Cricetulus griseus: one gene and its partners. The protein of the gene in region 2 interacts with the protein of the main gene of each other region in a pairwise test. Links are inferred from orthologs where the notes say so. Each region holds a gene or a part of one and is shown on either strand. Other genes may lie near its edges. The genes, in order: Trim23, Tnfaip3 and Ywhah.

The links.
Region 1: the proteins of Tnfaip3 (region 2) and Trim23 interact in binary tests that used the Homo sapiens proteins (3 or more experiments, as listed by UniProt). The two-hybrid records come from large-scale screens. The link is inferred for Cricetulus griseus from reciprocal best matches to the Homo sapiens genes TNFAIP3 and TRIM23.
Region 3: the proteins of Tnfaip3 (region 2) and Ywhah interact in a two-hybrid assay, tested with the Homo sapiens proteins (2 studies listed by BioGRID). The link is inferred for Cricetulus griseus from reciprocal best matches to the Homo sapiens genes TNFAIP3 and YWHAH.

The regions. Positions count from the first base shown.
Region 1 is NC_048595.1:322,464,736-322,468,389, reverse strand, and holds part of Trim23 (E3 ubiquitin-protein ligase TRIM23), read right to left. Parts: intron 2,271-3,654; coding exon 2,136-2,270; intron 1-2,135.
Region 2 is NC_048595.1:270,735,001-270,737,887, forward strand, and holds the end of Tnfaip3 (tumor necrosis factor alpha-induced protein 3), read left to right. Parts: intron 1-264; coding exon 265-549; 3' UTR 550-2,376; downstream 2,377-2,887. UniProt on the Homo sapiens protein: Ubiquitin-editing enzyme that contains both ubiquitin ligase and deubiquitinase activities.
Region 3 is NW_023276807.1:102,061,264-102,065,017, forward strand, and holds the start of Ywhah (14-3-3 protein eta), read left to right. Parts: upstream 1-1,566; 5' UTR 1,567-1,769; coding exon 1,770-1,856; intron 1,857-3,754. UniProt on the Homo sapiens protein: Adapter protein implicated in the regulation of a large spectrum of both general and specialized signaling pathways. Binds to a large number of partners, usually by recognition of a phosphoserine or phosphothreonine motif.

The DNA of each region.
Region 1 (3,654 bases), about 52 Mb from region 2:
AAACTGGAAAGCATTGCTATATTTCCACACATACAAGACACTTAACAAAGGGGCTAGAAAGATGACTCAAAGATTAAGAGCACTGGCTGCTCTTCCAGAGGTCCTAAGTTCAATTCTCAGTACCCACAAGGTGGCTCAAACCATCTATAGTGGGATCTGACGCCCTCTTCTAGCATAAAGGCATACATTTAGATAGAGCATCATATACATAAAATAAATAAATCTAAAAAAATTAATAAAGACGTCTTAGGCATTCCATGTTCATAGATCTGAAAAATCAATATTGTTCAGGTGTCAGTGTAAGTTCTACCCAAATCCCAATGACATGGAGTGAAAGTACTCTTCAATGGTAGAGTATTTGTATAATATATGCCAAATTACAGATTAGAAAACAAAAAGACAACTTTTGTGGGGAAGAAAAAAATGTTATAGGCCTCAAGGAACACAGCTAAAACAATTTTGAAGAGAACAGAGTCAGAGGACTAACACTTTCTGACATCAAAATATTTTACAAAGCCACAGAAATGAAAAACATGTGGACTGACGCAAAACCAAACAAACCGAGTAAAGTGCCCAAATGTAAACCACCACATATACAACCAAATGATCTGCACCACGGATTCCAAAGATGACTCAACAAAGAAAAAAGATGGTCTTCAAACCTGTAATGAATAAACTGAAGATTGGTGTGTGAAAGAATGAACAGGTACGCTTATTTTACACCACACACAAAAATTAACTCAAAATGAATTAAATGAAAGCACTCCTAACTATAAAGCTAGAAGAATACAAAGAAAAGCTTCAATACCTTGAACCTGACAATAAATACCTGGATATGATACCAAAGCACAGGCAACAAAACCGAAACAGGCTGGCAGTGGTGGCATTCGCCTTTAATCCTAGCACTCAGGAGGCAGAGGCAGGCAGATCTCTGTGAGTTCAAGTCCAGCCTGATCTACAGAGAGAATTTCAGAAACCAGGTCTCGAAACACACACACACACACACACACACACACACACACACACACACACACACACACACACACACACACACACACACACGCGCGCACAGCAAGAACAGGTAAAGAAATTTACATAAAATTTAAGACCTTTCTGCATAATAGGTCATAATCAACATAGTGAAAAAGAAATTTATCAAATGAAGTAAAATATCTAGAAATTAAAAAAAAAAAGCTGAAAAGAGACTGGTAAATACCCATGATTCATAAAGAACTCTTAAACAACAACAAAAAAAGTGAACCAAAATCTTATAGTTACTCAAGACAAACAACAGGAAAGTATACGAAAGAAACATTGTTAACCAAAACAAAATGCAAAATAAGACCACAGTTAAGATAAAATGTCATACAGGTTAAGATGGCCACTATCCAAAATGTGGAGAAATTATAATATTTGTACAACAACAGTAAGATTATGATATGTTAACCATATGTAAAATACCACAGAAATTCCTGATAACATATGTGGCTGAATGCTTGCAAAACATGCACAAAGCTGTGGGTTCCATGCCCAGCATGACAAAAACCTGGTGTGATGACACAAGCCTATAATCCCAGCACTGGAGGTTGAATCATGAGTATCATCATTAGTTCAGTGTCATCCTTAGCTATTATATAGTGAGTTTGAGACCAGCACAGGCTACATACAAACCTTTCTCACAACAAAAAAAAATTTAAAATTTTTAATGGAAAATTTGAAAAAAACTTACTACATGACCCCTAACTTTTATTTCTGGGTATATCACCACAAGAACTGAAAATGGAGGCTTGCAGAGATAGCTAGACAGGAACGGGAGAGATGGCTCCTCGGTTAAGAGCACTGGCCACTCCTTCAGAATGTTTTCCAAAAAGAATCTAAGAAATTTGAGTATTAGCTGGATACCTGACAGTAAAGTATAAAAATATAAAATTACTAAATGTCTTGGGTACAATTCTACTTAAACTGTGAAATAAGAACAGAGATTTAATCTCACTTGTTTCTATTGCCCACTGATGAAAGTTTTTATTGAAATTTTACAACTCATGAGTTCCCTAGTGTCCTCCTTAATTTGATTTACATTTCATGCTACTTGCAATTTGTAGAAAGCATAGGTAAAAACAAGGGCAATACATCACCTTTGTAAAAGTGACTGGGATACTGGCATCCAACTGAATGTGATCTGCAACCTCTGTAAACTGCTGCTGCTGTTTCTGCAGTGTTTCTAATAATCTTGTAATTTCTTGTTTTGCCAAGACAACTCTGCAATCATCCTAGAAAACAAGATGGTATTTCCTATAAAGTTTTCCTCTTAAAAATGGAGACTCCATCAACTTTCAATAAAGACCATGTAATATCACAGTATTAAAAGTAAATTTTAGAAGCTAAGGAGCTACAGATTAGTTTGCAAAAGGCTTGCCTCATGAGCATGAGAACTTTGAATTCAATCCTCAGAACCTATGTAAAAAGCAAGGCACAGTGGTACTTGCTTGTCGTGCTGGAGAGATGTACAGTACATTACATTGGTAAACCCATGTGTTGTTTGAGCTCACTGAGAAGCTGGCTCAGGAACTGGGGTTGCTTCCCTACTTCTGAGCCATGTCTGTTTATGTTAAGTGTCCTCCAAGCCCCTTGTCTGGCACTAACTCTGTGACGAGAAAGGGAACAGCAAAAGAGATCAAGGGTAAAAACATCATATCTTAGATAGGATTCTATTGCTGTGATAAAACAACATAACCAAAAGAAACTTGGAGAGGAAGGATTTATATCAGCTTACAGTTTCACATCACAGTCCATCCCTAAGGGAAGGCATGGCAGGAACTCAAACAGGGCAGGAATCTGGAAGCAAGAACTCATGAAGAGGTCATAGAGGAATGCTGCTTACTGGCTTGTTCTCCATGACTTGCTCAATGTTTTCTTATAGCACCCAGGACCACCAGCCCAGGATGAGCTGGGCCCACCCACATCAATCATTAATCAAAAAAATTCATCACAGGGTGACCCTAAGGCCAATCCAGTGAGGGCATTTCCTCAATTGCCATTCCCTCTTCCAAAATCACTCTAGGCCCTATCAAGTTGATATTAAACTAGCCAGCAAACATCATGTCCTTACAAACAGCAAGAGAACAAACATTCCGAACATGTTACTATTGTTGCTTTATCCCATGATATAAAAGTGCCTACGGTCAGAAAGAAAAGTATGAAGTTCAGCCACAGGAAGCTCATCCATGGAGAGAAAGCTCAATTGGGAACTCTAGCTGGCTGCATTAACTTCTCCAGTTGATTTCTGCTGGACATTGTGAGCACCTGATTTGATGATGTTATTTCTACCTGTGGCTATTTTTTCTTTTACTCAGAAGACTCAATCAAGGCCCTGTTCTGCCTGGAATTCCAGCAAGAACTCTAGCTGGCTGCCTCATGGAGCTTCCCTAGTCAGCTTCTGCTGAGTATTTGTAAGTCCCCAGTTTGACTATGTCATGTTCCTACTGTTACTTGTTTTTTGTGTTTTTCTTTTTTTTTTTTTTCTGAAAATTTCATCTGAGAGGACAATCTGCTCTGCCAGAGACTCTAGCTGGTTGCCTTAGGATTTCTATAGTCAGTAGTTTCTGCTGGATGTTTTGAGCACCCAATTTGATATTTCCCACCCAACCCCCCTGC
Region 2 (2,887 bases):
AGATTTTAATGAGAAGCAGACTTCTCAGTCCTTTATTCTGAATATTCAGGATGCTTCCATTTACTGGCATATGGCAGAAGCGGGGAGGACCTTCCTCAAACTGGGTCCACAGGATTGGTGGGGAGCTATGGACCCTCAGTTGCACATTTTTCTGCTTCTCTCACTCAGTCAGCTCAAGCCTCTGTAGAATCCAAATCTGTTATTTGAAACCCCCGTCTGGTTTCCTGAGAAATGTAACATCCTTCTCTTGTTCTTCCCACACAGAGATCTAGCCAGCTCAGAGATATGCCCCGTACGACACAGGGAGCCTCGAGGCCCAAGTGTGCCCGGGCCTCCTGCAAGAACATCTTGGCCTGTCGTAGTGAGGAACTATGCATGGAGTGTCAGCACCTGAGCCAGCGAGTGGGCTCTGTGGCTCACCGGGGTGACCCCACTTCTGAAGAGCTCCCTAAACAGCGCTGCCGGGCCCCCGCCTGCGATCACTTCGGCAATGCCAAGTGTAACGGTTACTGCAACGAGTGCTTCCAGTTCAAGCAGATGTATGGCTAAGTGCAAGCAAGAGGACTGGCCCAGCAAGAAGGGGCCTCAAACTGCCAGGCGGAGTGGTGCTGTACTCCAGACCCCTGAGTGCCATAGGAAGGGTGGGCCCTGGGACAGTGGCTTCGAGTGTCTTTGAGCAAAGGAAACAAGATAAGCTCTTCATCATGGCTGTGACATTCGGGTTTGGTAACCAAGACTATGTCCAGGTAGGCTGAGAGTAGACCTCGTGATGGGCAATGCATGATGTCACATTCAGCCTGAAGCTGTTGCTGCTCATCTACCAGGAATCCGGTGAGATCTTGAGACATGGAATGCATGCTAGGACTGGCAAGCAGTTCCTGTGCCCACCTGCCAGGAAACAGGAGAAAAGCACGTGGACAGGTGGGTTGGAGCCTGAGACCACCTAACTGCCCCCACCCCCACCCTGGAAGCTTTTCTCAGAGAGCCAAAGCTGAATCCTCAGAGTACCAAGGCCCTCTGCCAGCCAGAAGCTCGAGGAAGCTCAGGGGAAATGACATGGGTAGAGCGCATCTGTAGTCGGTGGGCTTCCCTATCTGCCTGCTTGGTTCCCAAGGTTCTGTCTGAAAGCAGAGCCGCACACAGACTGTAACCCTGAGGCTGCTGAAACAGAAATGTTCACATGGAGACAAAAAAAGCTGCTCTTGACTGTATGCATACACCTTTTAGACAGCAGAACATCTTAGCAGGAAGACATGCCACCACTGGTCATCATTGTCTTCAGTTCCAGAGAGACTAGTTTGCACAGAGGTGTGTATCAGCGTGTGTACATATGTAATATACCCTTATATTATGTATAAGGGAGTTGTTTTTTAAACATTCAAATGGTGCCCCAGAGGTAATAGGAAGACTGAATAATAATAACCTATTTTCTGGTTGTTGTCAGGTTGCCTCTGTGTATGCAGCTTGTTACGTGAATTCAACAAGCTGCCTCCTTAAAGGGTGCCCTCATCGTACTTTATTTATTATGGACTTCAACGTTATTTAAATGAAGATTTTCTTCTGCAGTATTCTCTTGGAATAACATACTTGCTTTCCGCCATGTTCTGGGAACCTGGCAAATTCCTGACCTCGGGGTGTGGTGGGGCAGTTGTCTGCCCTCTCTACTCATTGCCTCCCTAGGAAAGAAGGGATTGCTTTATGAATAAAGCCTGTAGAAGCTGATACTTCTAATGACTCCCCGGCTGCACAGGAAGAAATTGTGGTGTGTCTCCTGTAGATGCTTCCAAGTATCCTACCTCTTTGAAGAGTAGATAGGGATGGAGTGGGGAGGGACACAGAAATATGTGGCCTTTCATGACCTTTGCTTACTGTGTAAATGCTGTGCCCTTGGGGTACTGGATAGGAACCCAAGCCTTGGAACCGCAAAGCCAGTAGCGATGAGGATGAGGAGGTTTCTGCCATTGGCTTGTAGCTTTTCTGTGTGTTTTGCGCTTGCCTTTGGAGGGAGATGCATTTCTCCAGAGGGAAGGGCTGACATCCTGGGTTCTAGCCCAGCACCTGAAGATGTTTGTGATGTATAACTCTATATAGCCTTTTCTCTTCTTATCTGACACTGTCTTTCCTGACTTACATCTTTGTCTTTTTTTCATTTAGTTCTTTCAAAGTTGATAACCTAATATTTTGTGTCTATTGATATTTTCATTCTTAATGTGAAACAATGAAATTATTTATACTTATAGAAAGTATGTGAAATTTGCACATTTAGTTGTCTTCATAGGATGGAATCTACCTTTTTTGGACTTCTTCAGATTGTTTTATTAAAGAACTGTAACTTCACAAAAGTCATTATTAAAAAATAAATTATTTAAGAACAAATTTTAATGTTTTTTATTCATGAATGTTGGGAGAAAATGGGGTAAAATATGAAGACTTTGATATATAATGAGCCATGGGTGCACCCTTTACCCATGGAAAAAGAGATAACTAATGCAAAATAATCAGGCGGTTGCTGCACAGACATGAGAAGTTGAGTGAATTCCCATCACCTTTGTACAAGCCCTATGCGGTAGCGAATGCAGTTGCACATAGATGCACACACAAGAACACCTGCGCGCGTGCGCGCGCGCACACACACACACACACACACACACACACACACACACACACACACACACGAAACAATCAGCAGATTAGAATGAGATACTCAAGCAAGCACCGGCCTTGGGTTTAATAGCAATGGCACAGAACCCAGATGGATATGTGAAAGCGTCTCACCCTACACCAGTGGTTCCCAACCTTCCTAGTGTTGCAACCCTTTATACAGTTCCTCATGTGGTGGTGACGCCCATCCATAAAATTATTTCATTTCTACTAAATAACTGTAGTT
Region 3 (3,754 bases), on a different chromosome or scaffold from region 2:
AGGGGACGCGCGAGCGCGTGCACACACACACACACACACACACCTCTGACCTCTACACACGCATCCCTCACCCCACTTGCCTTCCACCCAAATATGTTTAAAAAAGTTAGAAACAGTCTGGCGGTGGTGGCGCATGCCTTTAGTCCCAGCACTTGGAAGGCAGAGGCAGCTGGATCTCAGTGAGTTCGAGGCTAGCCTGGTCTACAAAGCAATTTCCAGGATAGCGAGGACTGTTACACGGAGAAACTCTGTCTCAAAATACAAAAAGTTTAAAACGTCCTCTCTATATATTTAAAAATGAAAATGATAGCTCTGAAGAGCAATGTCTGGGGTTCATCTCTGCCCCCTTGCCTTCAATACGCACAGTTCTCAGTCAACCTAAGGCCCCTTCTCCTGTGATTCTCTGGGGATGTTTTGTTTTTTGCTTTGTTTCTAGACAGGGTTTCTCTGTGTAGCCCTGACTGTCCTGGAACTTGCTTTCTAGACCAGGCTGTCCTGGAACTCAGAGAGCCACCTGTGACTGGCTAGAGTGCTTGTTTTAATTTTTTTTTTTTTTCCTAGCTTGGTCTTAAGGCCCAACCCAGGATCCCTTAGCATGGAATTGCAGGCCTGGGAGGGGCTTAGTGACCAGTCAGTCCATTGCCATAGAAGTCCAAGAAGATACTGAAATCAGATTTTGGTCACTCCACACACAGGAAGTGTGTGTGCCCTTGCTTTGCATTTTTGCTGCTTCTTCCACTGAGGGGTCCACCTCAGGCCCTCGCTCACACCAGGCAAACATGGTACCTCTGTGTTGTAACCCCAAACTTCCTTTCAAATCTTTGAAACAGACAGGGTAAGTCGACCAGGTTGGTCGCCAACTTTTTTTTAACCGGGGTCGCGGCATGCACTTGGGCTTTGAAAAATGGGGGCCTGCTGTGATTTTCGTGGAGTCGGTTGTATGAAATAGGTTAGTGCCAGTTAAGGCCCAGCAGTGGGCCAGCTCCTCGTAGGCCTGTCGTGACCGTTAAACTCTGCCAAGCTACCTGCCAGCCCTGTGAAAGCCAGAGCTGGCCGAAGGTCACTTCTCAGGGTGCGGTATGGTGGGTTCCAGTGTCTCTGAGGAGCTGTCCCTAAGGGAAGGAGCCACCACCAGAGCTGACCCAAGCGCTGGGTGTGGCCTCAGGGAGCAGAGACGTCCCTCGGTGGGGGGCGGCGGCTTCTCCACACAGGGTTATTTGCTGGGAGGGCCCTTCTCAAACCTGAGCTCTAACATGGGTTTTGTGACGCTTTCCTGGCCTGGGCGGCGACAACGCCAGCCTGAGGAGCCACCATCGCCGCGCCCTGGCCGCTCCCTACCCTCCAACACTGCGGCGGTAAAATGCAGCACTCCTAGGGCGCCTGCGCCGCTCTCCAGCGCTGGGCCTAGCCGCAGCTATTTATAGTAGATGACGTCACCTTAAAAAAGACCGTTAGGGCTGGGCCGCCCCGCTCCCCCTCCCGCGGCTCGCCGCTCCGAGTGCGCAGGCGTGGTCGCGTCCTCCCTCCCGCCGCCCGCGGCGCCCCCCTGTCCTCTCTCCGCGGCTCCGCGGCCCTCGCCACTGCGCGTGCAGCCAGCCAGCGAGAGGGCGCGAGCCGCGGCGCAGCCTGCAGCCTCCCGCCAGCCGGCGAGCCAGTGCGCGTGCGCGGCGGCGGCCTCGGCGGAGACCGGGAAGCGGACGGGCAGGCGGGCGAGCGAGCGAGCAAGCAGGCGGTGCGGGCGCGCGAGGCGAGGCCGAGTCGCGAGAGACATGGGGGACCGAGAGCAGCTGCTGCAGCGGGCGCGACTGGCGGAGCAGGCGGAGCGCTACGACGACATGGCCTCCGCCATGAAGGCGGTGAGCGCACCGGGAGCCGGGCGGCCGGGGGCTGTGGGGCGGGTCGGGCCTGGGCGGCGGCTCCCTCCCAGCGCACAGCCACCTTTTGGGCGCGGCGGCCGCCGAGCTCTCCATTTCCTGAGGCCCTGCCGCGGCGGGGTCTCCCCTCGGAGGTTGGCGGGCAGGGGTCGCCGCAGCCTCGCTCGGAGCCCTGGTGGGGGAGGGGGTACACGAGGAAATCGCGTTCCTGCTTCTAGACCCTTCTTCCGACCTGAGGCGAAACGTGCTTCCCTTCCACCATTCACCCACTTGTAATAAAGAATCCTCAGCCACTGGAGACCCGTCTCCTGGTTTTCTCCGCCACGACCTGTTTGCTTTGCTTGCCTGAAGTTGGTTCTTTCCCATTTTCCACACCTCGGGTCTGGCTTTGTGTGCGAAGACCTCATTCCAGAAGTCATAGGCGTGAGGAGGGCGTGGGTCCCTACATAATATCCCAACATTCAGTGCAGCGTGTCTGCCTGCGGAGGAAATGAAAATGAAGCAAACCTGGGTGCCTTTGCATTCCTGAGACCCTCATAGATGGATTCTGCAACTTGATTTCCGGTAAAGGAGACATGCCCAGCCACACCCTAGCAAGTATCGTAGATTAGAGCCTACCTGCCTATTCGAGGGTTTGAATTCTGGTTACCACCCCACTATAGACGACTCTTCACATGGTCCTGGGTTTTCTCTTGTCAAGAATATTTCTTGTCAAGGTCACAGTGATAGAGGTGCAACCGTGGCTACTAAGTGTCTTGGTGTAAACCTCCTAAGCTTGGGGAGAATTTCCTTGGACTCCACCATAGACAAGCATTTTGGGAGTGAGACTCAGAAATCTGCCTTTTAAGCAGCCCTTAGGGCAGTTTTTAGCTGACTTAAATGAGTAAGTATTAACTGCCCTAGATTGTAGCTCATATGTCCTATAGCTGGCCTTTGAAATGATTCTTAAATAAAAAATTATAAACCTAGAGACTCCTGTTAATATAATTTGGAAACTTTATTTTGATACTACATGAGATATAAAATTGAGGTGAACATTTAGGATTTCCCAGGTAAGAACAGATAATCAAGTTACTATCTTCTCTAGTGCCCTGTTACACATTCAGCAAAATGTCTCTGGAAACCCTGTTTGTTGATTCATTGGTGAGACTGACTTCACTATTATGCTATGCTGTGCTGATTATATACAAGCTTTTCATTTATACCAGGGGATGTTCTGGGTTTGGGGTCTGGACTTTGAAGAAATTGTGAATTCTTCCTTTAAGAAAACAAAGTTAAAATATGGTTTTGCAAATTTTTGGAAACAAGACTGTAATCACTAATGTACATCTTGAAAGCCACCACTGTTCACACACCAAGTCACCAAATAGCTCTGGGATTCTGCAAGTTGAGGCCTCTCCCTGGACCCTGAGTGAGGCCTGTGCTCATGGTGTGAGTGGTACTTGAAGGCTGCAGTTTTGGGAGATAAAAATGTTGAAGAGAAAGATGGATGGGGCTTATATGAAGATGAATTAAAACTAAGGAAAAACGGCTGTCATGTATGTGGAGCTGCCAATTTCCTGAGGTGGGAAATTAGGAAAGACTAGAGAGATGTTACCAGAACAAAATATAGTTTCATCAGGGAAAAAAAGGCCCTCTGGTCTCTCTAAATGGGCTTGAAAATGAAGTTGCCTATTTTATTCACAGATGTTCCCTGGGGCATTAAGATAACATTTTACAAGCTAATGAACCTTTGAGTGTGTTAGAAATTCATGATTCATGGTTTGGAAAAGACACCAGGAACAGAGAATTTAATATTTGCACCATCAAATTTGTGATAAAACATTCCCTCAAGTTAACTACTAAAAAAATAAGGGGAGTTGTTTCCTACCAGAATTAAT